Linked DNA regions of Pelodiscus sinensis. The protein of the gene in region 3 interacts with the protein of the main gene of each other region in a pairwise test. Links are inferred from orthologs where the notes say so. Each region holds a gene or a part of one and is shown on either strand. Other genes may lie near its edges.

The links. The genes of interacting proteins can lie anywhere in the genome.
Region 1: the proteins of ZBTB9 (region 3) and EIF4E2 interact in binary tests that used the Homo sapiens proteins (3 or more experiments, as listed by UniProt). The two-hybrid records come from large-scale screens. The link is inferred for Pelodiscus sinensis from reciprocal best matches to the Homo sapiens genes ZBTB9 and EIF4E2.
Region 2: the proteins of ZBTB9 (region 3) and PIN4 interact in binary tests that used the Homo sapiens proteins (3 or more experiments, as listed by UniProt). The two-hybrid records come from large-scale screens. The link is inferred for Pelodiscus sinensis from reciprocal best matches to the Homo sapiens genes ZBTB9 and PIN4.

Annotation. Positions count from the first base shown.
Region 1 is NC_134720.1:49,306,434-49,313,600, reverse strand, and holds the start of EIF4E2 (eukaryotic translation initiation factor 4E type 2), read right to left. Parts: upstream 3,048-7,167; 5' UTR 3,032-3,047; coding exon 2,895-3,031; intron 1,342-2,894; coding exon 1,227-1,341; intron 487-1,226; coding exon 352-486; intron 1-351. UniProt on the Homo sapiens protein: Recognizes and binds the 7-methylguanosine-containing mRNA cap during an early step in the initiation. Acts as a repressor of translation initiation.
Region 2 is NC_134723.1:1,954,636-1,962,428, reverse strand, and holds the start of PIN4 (peptidyl-prolyl cis-trans isomerase NIMA-interacting 4), read right to left. Parts: upstream 3,048-7,793; 5' UTR 2,938-3,047; coding exon 2,898-2,937; intron 1,823-2,897; coding exon 1,749-1,822; intron 1,152-1,748; coding exon 1,032-1,151; intron 1-1,031.
Region 3 is NW_027465855.1:143,010-150,732, reverse strand, and holds the start of ZBTB9 (zinc finger and BTB domain-containing protein 9), read right to left. Parts: upstream 3,008-7,723; coding exon 1,568-3,007; 3' UTR 1-1,567. UniProt on the Homo sapiens protein: May be involved in transcriptional regulation.

The sequences.
Region 1 (7,167 bases), on a different chromosome or scaffold from region 3:
CCTCCCTTACACAAGTCAGGCTCAGGACTTGGCAGGTGAGTATCTATTGCCAGACATAAGGAGGAATGGAAATGCTTCTTACATGCCATTACTTTCAAGCTGAGGGAGTTCTGTTTCCACTGCTACCATCAGTGAAGGCCCCACCCCTAGAACAAGGCAGGCAATGCTGCTTCCTGGTCTCTTTTAGGGCTGTCATCTATTGTAGGTGAATCAGAAGCCAACACTATGGCCACAGCAGATGAACTGTTTTCCTTTATGTTTTGTGAAAGGTATATAACCACAGAGAAAAGTCTACTCCCAGAACCTGCCCTATGTTTGGTCACTAAAATGGAACAACTGGAGTGTACTCACCGAGGCAAAAGTGCCAATCTGTTTGATGTTCTGTTCGTAGCTCTGAGAGCTGGTGGGTCTCCCAGGTGTTCGTCTGGAGTACCAGAACGTATAATTATACTGCAGGGGGTGCTCAGCCGGCCCTGGGACAACAGCCTGGGGAACAGAGAAGCTCATTTATCCTCTCACATGTCTCTCCAGGGAAGACTGAACAAGTAACATTCATAGCATTAGAAGCCCACACCATTAGACGCTCCCAATGTAAGATGAACGGTGTACCTCATTTTCCTAGAAAAATCTCATCTCACGTTAATAGCTTGACACAGACCATTAGTTTGACAGCAACTGACTAGATTTCATATCGAATATTAGACAGCCCTAGCACATTTGTTCCCCAATCTGGTAGGACTAGGTGCGCTAACGATGCTGCTGCTTACTCCCAAGAGGAACGTCTCTCAATAGAAAGTCCTCCTGACGATTGAGGAGCATTAACTCTGCATTAAATTCTCTTTAGTCCCTGGCAGCAAAGAAACGCAGACCATTTAAAAAGCCCACAGCTGATGTGGGAAAGTGATGGGAAGCTCCCCCACACCAAGACTTTCCAAAAAGCTGTCTGGGGAAGAGTCCAGCTTTGCTTTCCATCTCCATATGGACCACAATTTGCTATGCAAAGAGTTCTGGCTGCACTAGCAGAGAAAATACTTCAGCTTGGCTCATGTTCAGGTAACTCAAAGTCTATTTAACATGGCTCCCCATCACAATGCTATCACAGCACTAAGCCAGGACAGTATTCCTAGATATACTCCATACACTGAGACACATTGACCACAAGCAGATGCCAGAATTTCAAGCCTAAAATTGTCCCTTGATTATGGCAGGAGATGTCAAGAACTCACCTTCCTCTTGGTGCTACTCTGGGATTTGTCACGATCATTTTTCTCCTTCTCACCATCTTTCTGTGTGCTGTTCTCTTCGTTCTGGTCATGGTCCCCACTATCATCATCTTTCAAACTAACAAAGGCAAGGGACAAAGAATGAGCTTTATGGCTCCTGGCTGAGGTGCCATCCTACAAAATCAGACTTACATTACTTGACCCCTCCTCCAAGACACAAACCACTGGCAGAAAGGAGTCTATGTTGGAAGTCTACTGACGACAGATTCTTACACACGAGAAAGCCTACACGCCCTACACCTGTCTCAGACCACTTGGCCTACAGGCACCCCAAACTTAAGCATCAACTCTTAACAGGGAACTAAGCAAAGATATTTATAACATACACATCACTAAGGGGCCTATTCACCAACTAATACTGACAGCAATCAGCTAAAGAAGGGAAAAGAGGCCAAGTTCCTCAAGTCTCAGAAGGATAGCTGTGTTAATCTGTAAATTTAAAAGCAATGAATAGTGCTGTGGCACTTTAGAGACTAACAAAAATATAAAGACTCATGAGCTTTCATGGGTAAAACCCACTTCATCGCAAGAGCTCATGAGTCTATATATTTTTGTTAGTCTCTAAGGTGCCACAGGACTACCTGAGTTTCTAAAGGTATGTATACACCACAAATTCTACAGTGGCACACCTGCAGCTTTGCTGCATAGATACTTAGAGCCCTGCAAATCTGTGGACACCCACTTTATATCCACAGAGGTGGATGCAAATATCTACAGATCATTTTCGCAGCTGCAGATACAAATTAGGTATCCAGGCCAGGCTCTATAGATACTTACTGCAGCAATAGAAAGTGTTTTTTCCAATCACTGGAATAAATCTACTCCTTCAGGTTAATAAAAGAATTTTTCTGTCAACTTAGTGGTATCTACTCTGGGGATCGGGGCAGCATAACTAGCGATGTAAACTGTGGGTTAACCAGTTAAAGACTACGTCTAGCCGGTTAATCCTGGAGCAGCCCCCTGCCTGCGCCATGACGCTGTGAGTCAGGGGGAGAAGGAGGCCTGCTATGCTGCGCCACAGGCAGCGCTGCTCTGGCTGGACCCCAATTAGCCAGTCAGTAGGTAAGCTTACCAGTCAGGCTGATGCTCACCGGGTAACTGGTTAACCCTTTGCATCCCGAGCCTTCACTACAGCTCTCCAGGAGGTGACTTTTCCAGCCCCCGGGGCTGCCCTGCGCCTGGGCCCGCAGGGCGTGAGCGAGTCGAACCCCAAGGCGGATCTTGCACGGAACCGGCCTCCCAACGCTCCCGAGACCGGCACCGGGGCAAAGACCGGAGCGAGCCTCCGACCCGACACGCGCCTGGCGCGGGCTGCTGGCCCCGTCCCAGAGCGGGGGGGAGGGGGGTGACAGAGTCACGTGGGGCCTGGGGAAAGGCTCGTGGGGGGGCTGGGAACGGGCCTTGCCCGGGGGGGGGTCACTCGAGACAAGGCCCAGCAGCGCCCCGAGCCGCCTGCCCGCCGCTCCCGGACCCGCTCCCCGGCCAGAGGGAGCCGGGGCCCCCCCGCGCGTCCCGGTGACTCATCGCGTCTCGGGGCCCCCGGGGGGGGGACCGCGGCGCCGGGCCGGTCAGTCGGGCCGCAGCTCGGGGGGGGGGGGGCCTCAGACTCACGCGTCGAATTTGTTGTTCATCCTCGCTCGCCGCCTCCGCCCGTCTCTCCGGGGAACTTCCGCTCCGCGCCAGCCACCTTCCGCCACTTCCGGGCACGGAACCTGGCAGCGCGGCCGCGGGTTTCCGCCCGGCGCCATGGACGCGCGGGCCGTTCTCGCGAGACCACGCAGGGCGTCACAGCCACGGGTGGCCGGGCCGCCATCTTGAGCGTGGCGCGGTGGGCGGGGTTAGCCCGCGTGAAGGGCTCGTGCCCCGCGGGGTTCAGCCCCCAGGCACGTGGCGTCGCAGCGCCCATCTCCCACCCGCCACGTGACCCCGGGGCGCCTCAGTCCCATCAGCCCCCTCCCCGCCTCCCCCTCCTGGCCAGCCCCTTCCATCCCCCCCCCCCATGGCCAGCATCTTCCATCCCCCCCCCCCATGGCCAGCATCTTCCATCCCCCCCATGGCCAGCAACCCCCCCCATGGCCAGCATCTTCCATCCCCCCCCCATGGCCAGCATCTTCCATCCCCCCCATGGCCAGCAACCCCCCCCATGGCCAGCATCTTCCATCCCCCCCATGGCCAGCAACCCCCCCCCCATGGCCAGCATCTTCCATCCCCCCCATGGCCAGCAACCCCCCCCCCCATGGCCAGCATCTTCCATCCCCCCCATGGCCAGCATCTTCCATCCCCCCCATGGCCAGCAACCCCCCCCATGGCCAGCATCTTCCATCCCCCCCATGGCCAGCAACCCCCCCCCCCATGGCCAGCATCTTCCATCCCCCCCATGGCCAGCATCTTCCATCCCCCCCATGGCCAGCAACCCCCCCCATGGCCAGCATCTTCCATCCCCCCCATGGCCAGCAACCCCCCCCCCCCATGGCCAGCAACCCCCCTCCCCATGGCCAGCATCTTCCATCCCCCCCATGGCCAGCAACCCCCCCCCCATGGCCAGCATCTTCCATCCCCCCCATGGCCAGCATCTTCCATCCCCCCCATGGCCAGCAACCCCCCCCCATGGCCAGCATCTTCCATCCCCCCCATGGCCAGCAACCCCCCCCCCATGGCCAGCATCTTCCATCCCCCCCCATGGCCAGCAACCCCCCCCCATGGCCAGCATCTTCCATCCCCCCCATGGCCAGCAACCCCCCCCCATGGCCAGCATCTTCCATCCCCCCCCATGGCCAGCAACCCCCCCCCATGGCCAGCATCTTCTACCCCCCCCATGGCCAGCAACCCCCCCCCCATGGCCAGCATCTTCCATCCCCCCCCATGGCCAGCAACCCCCCCCCATGGCCAGCATCTTCCATCCCCCCCATGGCCAGCAACCCCCCCATGGCCAGCATCTTCCATCCCCCCCCCATGGCCAGCAACCCCCCCCCCATGGCCAGCATCTTCCATCCCCCCCATGGCCAGCAACCCCCCCCCCCATGGCCAGCATCTTTCATCCCCCCCATGGCCAGCAACCCCCCCCCATGGCCAGCAAACCCCCCCCCCATGGCCAGCATCTTCTATCCCCCCCACCCCCATGGCCACCATCTTCCATCCCCCACCAACGCCCATGGCAAGCATCTGCTCCCCCCAACCAGTAGGATGTATTCCTGTAGGTTTCCTCGAATAGCATCGTGTTAAGATTAATCAGTCTCCGAGGGGCAGGCGAGTTAGTCTGTCATTTTAACAACAGCGAGTGGTCCTGAGGCACCTGAGCGACTAACCAAAATAGATATCTATCATGAGCTTTCGTGCACACAACCCATTTCATCAGATGAAATGGTCTTGAAGAAGAGGGTTTTGCCCAAAAACGCTCATGATACTCTTTATATTTTTGTGAGTCTCTGAGGTGCCACAGGACGACTCATATTTAAAAGTTGTTTTTAAAGGTTAATCACTAATTCCTAGAGATGCCAGGACAATCCTAGAGTGTTGGCAACCCTGCCTGTATGTGTCCCCTAGTACCTCTCTCACACAGCACTGGCTGACACCGCTCCCCCGCCATCCACACACCCCTGTCTCCCACAACCCTGTGGGCAGGACCTGTCAGTAGAATGCTAACAAACACCTTAATCTACTTCCACACCCTTGTGTCTGGCCCTGATACAAAGTGGCAGGACTTTTACCATCTGTAGAGGGTGAAGGGTCCCTGACAGACCACTGTGTTTCATGTTTGGTCCAGGGGTAGCTGGGGCTTCGCGGAGCCAGGGTTATGGGCCTGGTTCACCATAGCCCCAACACCTGGCCATTCTGCAGTTCCTGGCAGGGGAAAAAAACAGAAAATACCGGATATTTTTAGGTGTCCGGTATTTTCTGAATTTTTTTCTTTACCAGACAGGAGGTGAAAATACCAGACACCTGGCAACCCTATTTCCCCCGCATTTCTTCAGCTATGCCCACCCCATCTGTGGGGCTGCAGGGAGCCCTTCTTGGGTTGGCTAAAACGCCCATTTACCAAACCAGGAGCAGGAAGTGCAGCTCGGAGGGTCTTTGCTACTGGGGCATGCATCGCGGTTCCTTACTGCTATGCAGGTGGTCTCTCCTGACTCCTTCGCGCAGCAGTGGGTGCTCTCCAGGGTTCTCTGCTCAGGATCCCTGTTTGCTTCCCCTATTTTGAATCTTTGACTTTCACTTCTGTCCTCTCCGACCCGCATCTGTTCTCTTTTCAGGCCCTGAGGTCCTCCCCAGATTGAGAAGCAATTAATTTGTTCTAGCTATAATTAGGCTCCCTGTTTTAGGATGCAAATCAGCCTATATTACCTGGCTGCAGTATGGGCCCCTGGGCAGTTGGACTAGTGTAGCTGCACCTGGCTCATGTTCTCTTCCTGCCCTTGAGGGCTGGCATTGAAAAAGACAGACCTAAATGTTCAAAGACCTGAAGCAGGCACTCCGACCACATGGTGCTGCCCTACATGCCTGTTCACTTCTAATCTCTCTTCCCCCTCTCAGCCCTGGAAGCCCTTCTTGGAAGTTGGGTTCAACACCAGAAAATATCAGATCACTTATTGAGGGGCTTAAATTTCTGCTCCTGGGGAGCAAATGCCTGCTGCCTTCAGGCTGACACTGGCCCCACGTCAGGCTTCTATATGGTTACAATATTTGCTAGCATAACAACTCAGGCCAGAACAAAAGACAGGACTATGCAGCACTTTAAAGACTAACAAGGTGGTTTATTAGGTGATGAGCTTTTGTGGGCACCTAAAACACCATCTTGTTAGTCTTAAAGTGCTGCATAGTTCTTTCTCTTGTTTCAGCATGATCAGACTAACACGGCTACATCTCTATTACAACTCAGGCCAGAAACACTTAAGCATGATTTTCTCAACCTCTTCACTTGAATTATCCAACAGCCAGATGAACTCTGCTAGATAATAAAGATTATCTTTGTTTTTCTTTCCAAATTCCATTTTATTTAATGGGTGTGTAATCTAATGAGTCAAGAAAATATATTTTTTTAAAATCTTATTTTTAATGAACAACCATGGCCATTAGATGGCGACATTGGCTTGCAATTACACTGACTATTATAACTGCCTATCTGGAGTAATGTGCAGTTCAGAGATGTTCCATTCACCAGCAGAAATTGGTCCAATCAAATATTTTACCTTACCCACCTTGTCTCTCTGAGAAGCCTTTTAAGAGCAGCCCTGGGTTTGGGGTAGCTCTGATGAAATTAGGGTTGTGTGAAACACTAATTTGGTTTGGTTTGGTGGCAGATCTGGGAGGAAAAATAATCAGGAACAGAATTTTGTCTCAGGGTAAGCTGAAATGAAAATGTGGAATTTTTGACAAGCTGCAATGTCTAAAAAAAGTTTTGTTTCACATCGCCCAAAATGAATTTTTTTTTTATTTCAATTTTCAGGCCTATTTTAAATTAAAAAAAATAAAATAAAATGGAGGGCATTGCCAAAGCAAAACACCTTTCCAAAACAAAAAGTCAACACATTTTTTTTTAAATGCTGAACAAACTCTTTTGACCTCCAGATTTTGTTTTAATTCTGACAAAAACAATGAGCTGTTCTAGACCCAGATCTGCAATTTGTGTTCATCCGCCCAAATCTTCAGTTTGCAATGGAAAAAGATTTTGTAATGGGAATGATTTTGCCCAGCAGGGGTGGATGAGAGTTTTGCGGGGCCCACAGCATGGGACCTATTGAAGCACGGGACCCAAGGCAGCACAATTTTGCCAACAGGTAGTAACGCATGCACGGGGCCTATTGAAGCGCAGGGCCCAGGGCAGCCGTACCGCTCGCCCTGCCTTATATCCGCAGCTGTTGCCCAGCTCTCCTTGTGCTGTCTTGGT
Region 2 (7,793 bases), on a different chromosome or scaffold from region 3:
TGTTTCCTACTCCTATTCATATTTATTGCCCTTTTCTGTACCTCTTCCATTTCTAAAGATCTTTTCTGAGATAGGGTAACCAGAATTGCATGTAATATTCAAGGTGTAGGCATACCATGGATTTATATAGTGGTACTGTGATATTTACTATCCTAATGGTTAGCTTTTTTGACTGCTATGATATCTGTGTTGATAGACATACTTGCTGACAGGTATTTTGAAATGTACTAAAATATTTGAAACTGGCATGATTATATTGTGTTTAACAACAAAATACGCAGACTTTTACAAAAAATTAAAATATTGTAAGCAGAATTTTAAATGTTCTGGTGCAGAATTCCCCTAGTAGTAAAGACTTAGTGATAGTTTTCTGTCAAGGTGGTGTGGCTATGGACAGTTTCCTGAGAGGATCAGATTAATCATCAGAGGAGTCATAGTACGTTGAGTGCACACTAACACCATCCTCTGTGACAGCACATTTCCATGCAAAACCAGATTGGTGGGGAAGGAGGAGAAATATGGGCCATGCAAAGATTCTTATAATCAGGGAAGGAGGAGGAGCACGAGATCCAGATGACCATTCGAGACTTCACAATGCAACCTCATTTATCTGCCAAGTGCTATGATACCACTGTTTGGAAGGTTTCCCAGAATCCTAGTCTCCTGCTAACACTAGACCTACTGATCAAACTTACTCACCCTCTGAGCCATGTATGATGATCTTCAGAAGTTAAAGATCTGGGTGCATCTGCCAGTGCTTGGGGCTTCAGCCTCCTGCCAGGCTGAAGCCCGGAGTCCCTTCCTGCCTTCAACAGGGCAGAGACCTCTAGTCCTACTACTCTGCCACAGGGCAGAAGCCCGGAGCTCCCCCTGCCCCAGTCTGGAAGATGGAGAATGGTGGTGGAGGGGAAGCCGCACTTTAACTGTGAAAGAGTCACACGTGACTCACGAGCAGTGGTTTGGCCACCCCTGCACTAGACATCAGGCAGTCCATCTAAGAGCCGTCAAGCCTGGCAGCCAGCGATACATACCCCTTGTCTGGCTTTATCTTCACTGTACTGTGAGGCTACTTCACTGAAACGCACTCCAGATTTCAGCTTCTCCATGGCCTCCATGACTCTGCTGTGCTTCTCACACAGAATGTGTCTAACCTAGGATGCAAAAGCAGGAGGAAGTTACATTTTGGGGGCTCAGCTCCCCTCAAAACAGTCATTTTATTGCAGTTTACCAAACAGGCTCCTGTCTGTGTTGCTGCGCCCTGATTGCTGCAGCTCATAGTGTGGTTCTCACCACCACAGGACTGAGTCTGCTGAAAGGCTTCCCACTTCTAGGCCAGGACATTCGGCACAATTGCTGTCCCAACCAGCAGCCAAGGCAGAGCGAGGCAGTCCTCTGTCCAGCCTGCCTCCTGCTGCTACGGCAAGTGGCCTACCAGCTTGGTAGTGGACCAGTGCTACGCAACCCACACCTCTCCCACTGCCCCGTCACACAGGTAGGCTGCACTCAGCAGGTGCCTTTGGCAGGCACCTTTCAGTCACCAGAACCACACTGGCTAATTGGGGGTTGCTGCCTTGTGGGCCAGCATGAACCCCTGACCCTTAGAGCCAAATCCAACCTGGGACCCCAGTGGCTGCCCACGGATGGGTGCCCACAGCTGACCTTGTGCCACCTGTGCACCCCACGTGCTTGGCAGCTGGATGCCAGTGAGATGGGTCTCTAGCCCCGCGATCCCTCTGTGCCTCACTCACCTTCACAGAGCTGCCCCCCCCCTTTGGGGCCGGGGCCTGCTTCTCAGCGCTGCCCCCACCGCCGGCGCCTCCTCCTTGGGAAACAAACCAGACCGTCCTTGCTGGGCTCGGCTCCCGGCGCCACCGCAGTGCGCCAGAGCAGGGCCAGCCCGGCGAGCATACGGGCTGCCCCAGCCTGGGGGAATGGACTGATCACCCCACCAGGGAGCCCCCAGGGCACCCCAATACCCATCCTCCCGCCCCGGGGCACCCCAACCCCCCAGCGCCCATCCCCCCGCCCCGGGGCACCCCAACCCCCAGCGCCCATCCCCCCGCCCCGGGGCACCCCAACTCCCCCGTGCCCATCCCCCCCGCCCCGGGGCACCCCAACTCCCCCGCGCCCATCCCCCTGCCCCGGGGCACCCCAACCCCCCAGCGCCCATCCCCCCCGTCCCGGGGCACCCCAACCCCCCAGCACCCAACCCCCGCCCCGGGGCACCCCAACTCCCCAGCGCCCATCCCCCCACCCCGGGGCACCCCAACTCCCCAGCGCCCATCCCCCCACCCCGGGGCACCCCAACTCCCCAGCGCCCAACCCTCCAGCGCCCATCCCCCCACCCCGGGGCACCCCAACCCTCCAGCGCCCATCCCCCCACCCCGGGGCACCCCAACTCCCCAGCGCCCATCCCCCCGCCCCGGGGCACCCCAACCCCCCAGCGCCCATCCCCCCGCCCCGGGGCACCCCAACCCCCCAGCGCCCATCCCCCGCCCCGGGGCACCCCAACACCCCCCCAGCGCCCATCCCCCCACCCCGGGGCACCCCAACTCCCCAGCGCCCATCCCCCCACCCCGGGGCACCCCAACTCCCCAGCGCCCAACCCCCCGCCCCGCCCCGGGGCACCCCAACCCTCCAGCGCCCATCCCCCCACCCCGGGGCACCCCAACCCTCCAGCGCCCATCCCCCCACCCCGGGGCACCCCAACTCCCCAGCGCCCATCCCCCCGCCCCGGGGCACCCCAACCCCCCAGCGCCCATCCCCCCGCCCCGGGGCACCCCAACCCCCCAGCGCCCATCCCCCGCCCCGGGGCACCCCAACACCCCCCCAGCGCCCATCCCCCCCGCCCCGGGGCACCCCAACTCCCCAGCGCCCATCGCCCCGCCCCCACTCACCCTTCCCCCCCTTGCCGCCGCTCTTCCCCTTCGGGGGCATCCCGGCGCCGCACGCCAGGCCCCGCTGAGGACCCCGGGCCGGGCTGCCCCGCCAAGCGCCTGACGGGCGCGCACCAGCCCCCGCCCCGCCCCCGGCTGCGCGCGCAGAGGCCGGGAGGCTGGGCCGCGGAGCATGGGCCGGTTGGTGACGTTAGCCAATGGGCGGGGCTGCAGAAACCAGCCCCGCCCCCACACGAGCCCCGCCCCCCGAGCCCGCTCTCGGGCCTGGCCGTGGCCCCGCCCCTCCTCCGCGCGCGTGGCCCCGCTGCGGGATCACCGCCCCCTCGCCCCCCCCGCGTGCTGCTGTCAGGACGGGGGGGCCGGGCGGGGGTCTCGGGTGGAATCGCACCGGGCTCCCGCCCCCGCGTGCACCCCGCGCTGGGAGCCAACCCCCCCCCGGCCACACCCCGGGCCTTGGGGCAGGGGGACTGGGACACTCCCGCCCGCAGCCACTCCCAGGAGCGGGGTTGGGGGGGAGGGGGGCAGGCTCGCTGTGGCAGGCCGTGCGGGGGGGCGGGCTGCAGGCTGGGACACGAGTGGGTGCGGGGGGGGAGGGGGGCAGGCTCGCTGTGGCAGGCCGTGCGGGGGGGCGCGCTGCAGGCTGGGACACGAGTGGGTGCGGGGGGGAGGGGGGCAGGCTCGCTGTGGCAGGCCGTGCGGGGGGCGGGCTGCAGGCTGGGACACGAGTGGGTGCGGGGGGGAGGGGGGCAGGCTCGCTGTGGCAGGCCGTGCTGGGGGGCGGGCTGCAGGCTGGGACACGAGTGGGTGCGGGGGGGAGGGGGGCAGGCTCGCTGTGGCAGGCCGTGCGGGGGGCGGGCTGCAGGCTGGGACACGAGTGGGTGCGGGGGGGAGGGGGGCAGGCTCGCTGTGGCAGGCCGTGCGGGGGGGCGGGCTGCAGGCTGGGACACGAGTGGGTGCGGGGGGGAGGGGGGCAGGCTCGCTGTGGCAGGCCGTGCGGGGGGGGCGGGCTGCAGGCTGGGACACGAGTGGGTGCGGGGGGGGAGGGGGGCAGGCTCGCTGTGGCAGGCTGTGCGGGGGGGCGGGCTGCAGGCTGGGACACGAGTGGGTGCCGGGGGGAGGGGGGCAGGCTCGCTGTGGCAGGCCGTGCGGGGGGGCGGGCTGCAGGCTGGGACACGAGTGGGTGCGGGGGGGAGGGGGGCAGGTTCGCTGTGGCAGGCCGTGCGGGGGGACGGGCTGCAGGCTGGGACACGAGTGGGTGCCGGGGGGAGGGGGGCAGGCTCGCTGTGGCAGGCCGTGCGGGGGGCGGGCTGCAGGCTGGGACACGAGTGGGTGCGGGGGGCGGGCACAGCAGCTTTGCAGGCTGGCTGGAGCATGCAGGTGCAGACCAGTCACTGCCCCTGCAGAGGAAGGGCCCAGGAGGCAGACGCTGCTTCAGAGCCCCCCCATGGCTAAAGGCCTCGCGCGTGGCCCAGCAGCCCCCCGCGTGCAGCCATCGGTGCCGTCTGACTCCCGCTTTGCGGACCAGGCTCAGGCCACAGCCAACACGGCGACCTGTGGGCCTGCCTAATAATTAAGGTCTTCAGTGCTTGGCACGTCCCCTGGAGACCCTCCCCCCCCCACTTGCTGCTTCCTTGCCTGCTCCACTCTGCCCAGGGCGTGGACAGCGTGTGGAGGGCGAGGGCTCTGGCTGGTGTGGGGCCAGGGATGAGGGATTTGGGGTGCAGGGGGCTCCAGGCTAGGGCCAAGGGTTTGGAGTGCGGGGTGCTGGAGGGGAGGAACCCAGCTGCAGGATCACTGTGCTCCCAAAGATCCCGTCCCTTCAATGCACCACAGCCCAGCTGCTGCCTGGTGCGCTGTGAAGTGCCACCCCAGGGCTTTGGGTGCAGTGTTCCAGCACCTCCCCCTCGATCCCTTACCCCTGCCCCCCACTGCACTCCCAGAGGCTGCACGGATGTTTTGGGGCTGGCTTGGCAGGCCCTGCAGCCTGGGTGCCCCATGCTCTCTGCCCGGGAGGGGGGGGACAGGGAGCAGGGTGGGACCAAGTGTGTGGGGGGCAGCAGGGACAGGGGGCTCCACCTGGCACCAATTGGACTGCTGGCTGCTGTGCTGGCTGCCTGCAGCGCGCTCTGTCCCCCGGAGAGCACTGGACCTGAGCCCAGCCCGTGGGGGGTGCACAGGAGAGCATGGGAGCTCAGCCCCTGTGGACCCCAGCTTGCAGCTTAGCACCGTTGCAGTGCAGGTGTCTGTGTGGGGGGGACGTACCCAGCTGTGTAGACGTCCCTAAGTGGAGCTGGCCAGGCTGCGAAGTGGGGCTAGTATGGGGTGCACTGGAAAGCGCGGTGAGCTAGCCGAGTGCACCCTAGACCTGCCATCCCACCCCTTGCAGAGCCCTGGCCCGGGGCACCCGATCAGACAGGCCTAGGAACTAACAGTTTTAGTATTTCTACTCTGCCCCTCCCCCCGCCCGGCCCTTGGGGGCAGGCCCAGGCTGCGGAGAAGAACAGCACACGCACAGCAGGTGGGTTGGACAGTTATTGGAGTTTACCAAGCTTGCAAGAGTTAAAAAGTACAACATTCAGAAATATAAAAACCGTCGCTTTCGCCACCTCCAAGGGCTGTACAGGGGCAGGGCTGACATAGCAAAAGAGGCCACTTACGCAGGGAGAGGGGTGTTTGCATAACACACAGAAGTAGTTCACATTCGTTCATCTCGCCCCTGGCTGGCCCACGGAGGACTCGCGAGTCCTGGATCTCGACAGGGCTTGCCTCAGTCTTTGCTGGACAGAACCAGTCCGAGAATTTTGTCTACGTACAGCTGGGCAGCGCAGGAGGAAGCCCCTCCCTAGCGACCCGACTCGTTCCCTGTAGCGCTCCAGGTCGGCACAGGATCTGTTCCAGCTTAGGTGCAGAAGTTGAACTTGGCAAAAGCAAGAGCCGCATTCTCTGTTAAAGCATTAAGAGGGGGACACCCTGGCCTCACTGAAGTCTAGGGCAGACCTCCCCGTGACTTCACGAGAGCCAGGATTTCACCCACGGGTTTTTAAGGCTGGGATTTGGAGATTCAAACTTTTTTTTTAAAGTGATTTTTTGAAAGGGAAGAGAATCAAGGGAAGTTTCTTTTTCAGAAGCAGCTATTTTCCTTAAAAACACTTTGCAAAGTCCCTTTCCCGCAGGAGGTTTACAATCCAAGTGCTAAAAACCACCCCTCTGTCACGCCACACAAAGCCATTGCTAACTGCTGTGGGTAGCATCTTTTTCCTGAGCAATCGTGTGCAATACTGTACATGGTTATTGGCATTTTTCTCGGCCATAAATTCCAGCAGTAGCGTCTCTTTATGCAGCTAAAACATGTTCTTTGTGTATTGAGCATGCAGCTTTTACCCTGCAATATGCAACACTTCCCTAAAGACATGTTGCTTCTACTAAGGCTTAATGTTTCTGGCCTAATGCCACTTGTGGAATAAACATTGGTGGAAACGCTGAGGAATCTATGAAGCTCTTCCTACAACAACTTTGCACAAACTGTTCAAGGGCCGGAACCCAGGCCAGGTTGGTTTTTGCAGCCACGAATCCAGCCACTGGGCCGGAGCAGGAATATCATAGGACCTCAGACTACATTCTAATTGGTCAACAGCATGTTACTGGGGGAAGGGATCATTCATTTGTTCCACAGGCCACGTGAGGGGGCGCTGGCGGCAGAGGGCTATGGGAACACTCCCCCACAGGGAGCCGTTCCAAGAGAAATCGGGGTTGCCGACTCACCTGTGCTCCTAGGCCACACACTGCTTTGGAGGCCCTGTCTGGGCAAAATCAACCTAAAATCGGGGCTTTAACTGTGGGCAGATGGGGGCTCTCGGGGGTGCTGAGCTGCTACCAAAACTCTGCCCAATGCCACAGGTCAGGGCAGCGGACTGGAACTGAAATGGAGAGCAATGGCCCTGGAGGCGCCAACAGGTGCCGTGTGAGCTCTTAGGCACAGATCCGTGGCTGGGCCACATTGAGAGGCTTGGCCCCAGCCAATACAGATGGGGACCAGGTCACTAAGCCAGCAACCCTGGGACGCTGCCTGCTCCATGCCAAGGACCCTGCCTGCATTCCCCACACGGCTGTGCTCACAGCTGGCACGCTGGAGGCAGGTGCGCTCGTTCCTCGGAGCACAGCGACCGGCTCGCCTCGCTTCGGGTGACGTAAGCAACGTTGTGAGTCATGTTCCGTGTCAGACCCACGGGGCACAGAGACGGGAAAGTCCTTCCAGGCCCTGAATGCATCTCCATGCGCATGTGGGATCTGACCTCCAGACAGGGGGCTGTGATGGGAGACAGAGGCTGCCGTGCAGCCGGGAGAATCCCCTGCCTCAGTGGCACCTGATGCCCTGTGGAGACAGCAGCTTGAAGACTCCCGGTGGCAGATGCAGAAGAAACAACAGCGAAGCTCTGAAATTTTTATGATCTATTTTTCCTGAGTTTCTCAGCCTGGATGTTAATTACAGGCTTAAATTCTGCAAATCCATGACAACGAAGGAGTAACGTGTAATTAAAGAGAACAGAACTGGCAGTGTGAAGAGCTGAGCCTCCTTGACAGCCAAAAACCACGCCATCGTGGTGAAAAGGAGCCAGTACCGCTTCCCCTGGGATAAAGGCAGAGGTGTAAACACAAGAGAGCCTGGTGCTTTCCTGGGCGAGGGGGAGCCCCGACCCTCTGCTCACGATCCTGTACAGCAAGCAGAAGGTAACTGGTGAGCCAGGAAACCCCTCTGACACGAAGTCTCCCAGCAGAGCGGGCTTTTCGCTTCATGTTATTCGTGGACTGAGGGCCACCATAAAGCTGTCGCCCCGTTGGCTGCAGAGCGTCCGTGGTACACGCCCCATGGCACATCCGCGCTCTCCCCTGCCCGTC
Region 3 (7,723 bases):
TGGGGATGGCCCTTAAGTTGTTTATTCTGTTCATTCCCTCTGAAGTATCTGGCACTGGCCAATCAGAAACATGTTCTGACCCACCCAGGCTGCTCCAATAGCAGATGCCTATAGGGAGGTGCCTATAGTTATAAACAATGGCCTGGCTTGCCCTGTTTGACTCAACATCACACACACACACACACACACACACACACACACACCCCCACCCCCAGCTCATGATGCCTTGTGGGAAGGGGCATGAACTACAGCAGGGAACTGATAGGAAAAAAGAGGTCAAATAAAACAAAGGCACTAAGAGATACCCCCATGACAGGGCCAAGAAAGGCAGAGGCTGCTGAAGCCAGAAAGCAGGCTAAGGAGACTGCAGAGAGGCTGGCAAGCCCACCCCCACATGAGTCTTGGTGTGAACTACTCAGGGACTTTGGCTCTACAGAACATGGCACACTGCTCCCTGCTTTGTGCTCCAGCCAGCACAGAGACCCATTCACTCCAGCTCAAAGCACCCTCCCACCAGTCACTGCCCAAAAGGATGAGCCAGGTCCCAACCCAAGCTGGCCAGATGCTGGGGCTCACTGCAGAATCTTGGGCCCCAGGCCTGGGACCTGCAGCCCAGCACAGTGGAATGGCTCAGCTGCTCCAGCATAAAGGGGAGCTCACGCTGGGCCTTGTTTGAGGGAGAGTAGGGAGGTAGTGGGAGCCACAAAGACAAAAGCCTCCCTTCCAGACCTAGTTCCATCCCATTCAGCTGAGCTGGCCACATCATCTCCTTGAAGCTTTCCCCTATCCTGCCCATGCCCCCACCACAGTACTGGATTCAGCGGTGAGCTCTGGTTTGTGCCTCTCAATCATTTTGAGAGCACTGTTGAAAAGCCAGCCTGACTTTGACAAGGCCAGTCACTGTCCTGCCAGGGAGGGATGCAGGAGGCTGCAGAGGATGAGTCCAAGGCTGGGGGCGGGGGGAGGCACAGATCTCTTTTATTGAGTCTCCTGTGGCAGGGGGTTGGAATACCCCAGGTTGGGCACATGGCCTCAAAGTGTCAGAGACCAGGTTCCAGAGGAGTGCTCCCAGAAAAGGGCAGGTCGCCCCCCACCACCCGCCGCTGGAGCAGGCATGAGGGACTCAGCCTTGGCTGGGACATTGCCCAGAAGTCAGACTCCCAGGAGGGCAGCTCGGGACTGTGGTTTTCACAGGCCCAACCTGCCACTGCTGCCATCAGGGTCTGCGATTAAGCAATCTGCTGCACCAGCGCTCCTCTCTCACCTGCCCTATTGTCGCTGGCCCAAAGTGCCCACAGCAGGGCAGATTTAATCCCTTTCCTTGAGGTTCCCATCAGCCCCATGCTCCTGCCTCCTGCCCCAAGTTCCTCCACCTTACACCAGGGCAAGGTCTGTAACAAATGCCACACCATGGAGCAGCACAAGAGCCCAAATCCCTTGGCCTGCCCAGCTGCCCTTCATACTTTGGTGTCCACCGGGCCATGGAGCAGGGTTCTGAGCTGCTCAGGGGCTCAAACCAGCCTCAAGAAGGGTGGTAGGAGTCCTCCCTGCAGCCCCCATCCAAGGTTTATTTGTAGGTCCAGCAAGCAGTGGCCCAGCCCTGGCCTTTGCACAATTCCTTGTGTTTGAGGAAGCAGTTCTGCACACGGAACTTGCGCCCACAGTCCTCGCAGGAGTACAGGTTCCCATCATGGGTCTTCATGTGCTCTGTCAGATGGTGCTTCAGCTTGAACTTCTTGTTGCAGACAGAGCAGCCGAAGGGGCGCAGGCTGAAGGTCAGCATGATGTGCCGGTCTCGCTTGGGCTTGACAGCAAAGCGCTTGCCGCACAGACAACCAAACTTCTTCCCATCAGGGGCTGCCACAATTTTGACAGGTGCGTGCACCACCTGGCCATGTACCGCGTGGGCAATGATCTCGTTGCCATGTAGGTCCACTGGCTTCCAGGAGCTCTGGGGGAAGCTGGCCTCATCTGAGGAGAGGGGCTGGGCCTTAATGGTGAAGCCAGGGGTGGGGATGGAGGAGGCGGCACCTGTGGTTGCAGCAGGGATTATGTAGCTGACTTCACTGCTTGGCTGGAAGTCTGCTTGGCACAGACCCCGCACCTCAGCCATGGCCAATGCCCGCTCCTGTGCCAATGACTTGAGAAAGCTGGCCTCCCCGGCTGCACTCAGGCCTCCTCCCAGCGCAGCCCCTGCAGCCTCATCTGGGTCAAAGCGCTCCTGTTTGATGTAGAAGATCTTGGGGTGATCGCGGGGGGCATGAAAGGGGCCGTCCAGCTCCCCAGAAGATGGCCCTTTGGAGCCGCCTCTGCCACCAACCTCTCCATCTTCCTCCAGGACAATCTTCACTGCCTTGTCCACAGAGCCACTAAAAATCCGGGCCTGGTGCTCGTGCTCCTCCTCCTCCTCCTCCTCCTCCTCTTCCTCCTCCTGGGACACCCGGATCTTCATCACCTCATTGTCAGGGCAGCCGGGTGCTGCCCGGCCTGACGATACCCCGCCATGGCCAGGCCCCTCTGAGCTTCCACCCACCGGCTCTCCATCATCCTTCACAGCAAAATAATTGCTGCTACTGGGGGACTGGTTCTCACTTGCCCTGCTGGACCAGGGCCGGCAGGGGCCCCCCTCCAGCTCCTTCAGGATCTCCGAGCACTGGTCCACCACCTGCCACATCTGCAGTCCACTAGCCACCAGCAGGTGGCTGGGCAGCGCTTCCATCAGGAGCTTGAGGCGGCCGGAGTAGATGAGCTGCAGTAAGTTCTCGAAGGCGTCAGGCTCGATGACGCTGGGCAGCACGATGCAGTTGGTGTCATTGAGGAGTAGCTTGTCATGGAAGTAGGGCGAGGAGGCGGCCAGGACACTCTTGTGAGCCTGGAAGACCCGGCCCTGCACGTGGATGGAAATGTCGCAGAACTTGCCCTCCAAGCGGTGCTTGTTGAGAGATTCCAGCAGCACAGCCGCGTAATGGGGGAACTCGATCTGGATGCTGCGGGTCTCGGGCTCCATGGCACCGCCTGCCCAGGGCGGGCACCTGCAATGGCAGAGACAGGGAGTAAAGGGAACCCCCCCTGCGATGCTGCTGCCCCTGGGAGAGAGGGAAATGTTCACTACCCCTTGTGGTAAGAGAACTCCCATTCCCACAACAGCGAGGCAGGTGCAGGGCCAGCCCCACTGGAGGGGAGACTGGTGTAGAAGTTGTGTTCCCAGGACTACAGCCCTCCCACCCCCGCCAGGGATCCCAGGGATTTGGACAGAGGGAGAATGAGGGACTTCACAGCCCAGGCTCCTGGAAGTAGGAACCTGTACCCCCCAGCATACAGCAGCTACCCCATGGCAGCACCTCTTGGAAACTGCTCCCACCTCTGCCCCCACCCAGCCCAGCCCCAGTGCCCCCTTCCCGGCCCTGCCCTACAGCGCCCCGCCCATCCCCAGTACCCCCTGCCCTGTCCCCCAGTGCCCCGCCCATCCCCAGTGCCCCCTGCCCCCCCAGTGCCCCGCCCATCCCCAGCGCCCCCACCCATCCCCAGTGCCCCCTGCCCTGTCCCCCAGTGCCCCGCCCATCCCCAGCAACTCGCCCATCCCCGCAGTGCCCCCTGCCCTGCCCCGCAGCGCCCCGCCCATCCCCAGCAATCCGCCCTGTCCTGCCCCACAGCACCCCGCCCATCCCCAGCGCCCCCTGCCCTGCCCCACAGCGCCCCCGCCCATCCACAGCACCCCGCCCCACAGCACCCCGCCCATCCACAGCACCCCCTACCCCACAGCGCCCCCGCCCTGCCCCACAGCACCCCGCCCATCCCCAGTGCCCCCTACCCTGTCCCCCAGTGCCCCGCCCATCCCCAGTGCCCCCTACCCTGTCCCCCAGTGCCCCGCCCATCCCCAGTGCCCCCTGCCCTGTCCCCCAGTGCCCCGCCCATCCCCAGCACCCCCTGCCCTGCCCCACAGCGCCCCCGCCCATCCCCAGTGCCCCCTGCCCTGCCCCACAGCGCCCCGCCCATCCACAGCGCCCCCTGCCCTGCCCCCCAGTGCCCCGCCCATCCCCAGCAACCCGCCCTGTCCTGCCCCACAGCGCCCCGCCCATCCCCCGCGCGCGGGCCGGATCCAGGGCTCACCTGCGGGCCGCGCGCAGCAGGGCGAGTCCCAGCGGCCCGGGCTCAGCGAGCTCGAGCCCCGGGAAACCCCGCCCCCTCCGCCCGGGCCGACCGAAATGGAGCCCAGGAAACCCCGCCCTCTGCCCCTGGTCCCCCGGGCAACCAGGGAAGGACACGCCACCGGGGGGCCATCAACCAACCAAAAGCGACCGCTGCCCCCGCCCTGCAGCACGTAGCCAATCGCTGGCGGGACCGTGGCCACGCGCCGCCCCGAGCCTGTCCCACAGGCGGGCCAACCAGCGCTCAGCCCCCGGGACACGCCCACGCCGGCTAGCACAACCCCCTGGGAGCCGGGGCGCCTGATCTCCAGTCAGCCAATCCGAGGACAGCGCCCCGCAGCCCGCGTCCGATTGGTGGACAGATCTGTCTTCCCGCCCCCTTCCGTTTCGCATTCCAATTGGCCACGGGAGCGTCCTGTGCTTGACTGGCAGGGCTGGGCGACGTTGCGACCCAACCCCGCCCCCCCGCGTCCCCGCCACTTGCCGGGCGCCCCACGCGGGACCCCCACGCAGGAGCCTCCCCGCCCCCACGGGCCGTGCCCTGGGCCCCACGCGGAACCCCCACGCAGGAGCCTCCCCGCCCCCACGGGCCGTGCCCTGGGCCCCACGCGGAACCCCCACGCAGGAGCCTCCCCGCCCCCACGGGCCGTGCCCTGGGCCCCACGCGGGACCCCCACGCAGGAGCCTCCCCGCCCCGACGGGCCGTGCCCTGGGCCCCACGCGGGACCCCCACGCAGGAGCCTCCCCGCCCCCACGGGCCGTGCCCTGGGCCCCACGCGGAACCCCCACGCAGGAGCCTCCCCGCCCGCACGGGCCGTGCCCTGGGCCCCACGCGGGACCCCCACGCAGGAGCCTCCCCGCCCCGACGGGCCGTGCCCTGGGCCCCACGCGGGACCCCCACGCAGGAGCCTCCCCGCCCCGACGGGCCGTGCCCTGGGCCCCACGCGGAACCCTCCCACACGCTGCCCTGCGCCCCACAGAAGCCTCCAGGGCCCCACACGGGACCCCCACACACAGTGCCCTGTGGCCCCACGCAGGAGCCTTCCCGCCCCGACGGGCCGTGCCCTGGGCCCCACGCGGGACCCTCCCACACGCTGCCCTGCGCCCCACAGAAGCCTCCAGGGCCCCACACGGGACCCCCACACACGGTGCCCTGTGGCCCCACGCAGGAGCCTCCCCGCCCCGACGGGCCGTGCCCTGGGCCCCACGCGGGACCCCCACGCAGGAGCCTCCCCGCCCCCACGGGCCGTGCCCTGGGCCCCACGCGGGACCCCCACGCAGGAGCCTCCCCGCCCCGACGGGCCGTGCCCTGGGCCCCACGCGGGACCCCCACGCAGGAGCCTCCCCGCCCCCACGGGCCGTGCCCTGGGCCCCACGCGGGACCCCCACGCAGGAGCCTCCCCGCCCCCACGGGCCGTGCCCTGGGCCCCACGCGGGACCCCCACGCAGGAGCCTCCCCGCCCCCACGGGCCGTGCCCTGGGCCCCACGCGGGACCCCCACGCAGGAGCCTCCCCGCCCCCACGGGCCGTGCCCTGGGCCCCACGCGGAACCCTCCCACACGCTGCCCTGCGCCCCACAGAAGCCTCCAGGGCCCCACACAGGACCCCCACACATGGTGCCCTGTGGCCCCACATGGGACCTCCACACACGATGTCTTGTGGCCCCTCGCAGGAGCCTCCAGGGCCCCACATGGGACCCCCACACACGGTGCCCTGTGGCCCCATGCAGGAGCCTTCCCGCCCCCACGGGCTGTGCCCTGGGCCCCACGTGGGACCCCCACACACACTACCCTGCGCCCCACACAGGAGCCTCCTGGGCCCCACGCAGAACCCCCACACACGGTGCCCTGTGGCCCCACGCAGGAGCCTCCCTGGCCCCCACGGGCCATGCCCTGGGGCTTCAGGCCAAGGTGGCATAAAAGAACAATCGCTGTTTATTAAACGTTTCTCCGTTGGCACCACACACTCCAGAAAAATGAGAAAAAATAAAATCGACATAAAATAAAACGGAGAGCGAGACGCCCAGGTGGTCCGACACAGCGTCAGGGCGGGCGCTCGTGACCTGAACTCCCTTCCCAAGGGGATATGTACAGAGAATGAGGTCCAGAGAGGTCTATATACAGTACAAATCCAGTGGTAATTACAGCGCCCAGCCTGGGGGCGATGTGGCCAGGGGAGGTAGGGAAGGGTAGAGGAAATTTCACATATGTACAAACTTTTATATAATAATAATAATTAATACGTATAAATATCATGGCGCCACCCGAGTCGCCGCTGTCTGGGGGTGGGGGAGGACAGGGAGAGTCCTTACAAAAGAAATACGGACTGAGGTGCAGGAGGGGGCAAGGGAGGGCTGGTTAATGGCGAGTCTGAAATAGAGACACAAACAGCAAAGAAACACCCAGTACAATCACTGCGCTGACCACATTCACCCAGCAGCTCAGACCATAGCACAACGGTGAATAGCCACAAGAGTCCCCTCCAGTTCTCCGTGCTCAGGTGGGGGGGGTCGCTCCCCCGCCCCGGTGCCCTGCACGCGCTGGCGGGTGGGCAGAGAAATGGCTTCTTCATTATTTTGTTGGTTGTTTCCCCCCCAACAACCCCAGCCTGGGGGGACAGGGGGTCTGAGAACAGGGAGAAGGAAAGAAAGAAAGAAAGAAAGAAAAGGCCCCTCCCTCATTGCCCTCCCCAGAAAAAAACCAATCAATGTCTAGATAATCATCATTTCCAAAGACAGAGGGGGGGTGCAGGACACGGGGATGGGGCTGAGCAGGCAAAGCCCTTTATGAGAGTATAGAGAGCGCAGAGAGCAGTGGGAGAGGAAGGTGGGATCCCACCACTGGGACCAGCTGAGAGATGGGGAGAGATCCCCAATGCTGACACCAGGCAGGACTGGCAGAGGCCATGGCAAACCTTAGGCCTGAGCCTAGCCAGGAAGGACAGAAGGGGTGGTCTTTCCCTCGGCCAGGGCAGGGCTGTGGGGAGCGAGGATGGTATGTGATGGGTGGGGCAGGGCTAGTACTTGCTATTCCACAAGTCTTCGACCCTGACCCAAATCCCATGCTGGAGGGAAGAGAGAAATACTGGAACAAAGAGCTATGAGCCCTCGCCCCCTGAGAATCCCTCCTGCCAGGCACAGAGCCCCCCCCTACAGCAAAATGGGGAGAGCTTTGCCTCCAGCTGCCACCAGTCTCTGCTGCCCCTTGAGTTTCCAACCCTCCAGGCTTGTCCTGGAGTCTCCGGGTATTAAAGATTATGTCATGTGACGAAACCTCCAGGAATGCGGCCAACCAACCAAAATGAGCCCTTCAGCTGCCCCCGTGGGCAGGCTGGAGGGGTTTCCCTGCCCCCCAGGCAAGGAGGGACAATGCAATAAAATGGCTGCCAGGGCGAGACCACTCCTGAGAAATAGGGAGGGGGAAGAGGTATTGTCCCCATTTCCTTCAAGGGGAGGCGGAGGTCCATGGCACAGGAGAGAGGAAGTCAGACCTGCTCCCCCTGGGAGGGGAGAGAAGGTGCATGGGAGGAGGGGTGTAAGATTGTCATCTGTGTTCTGCTATAAAACACCCTGAAGT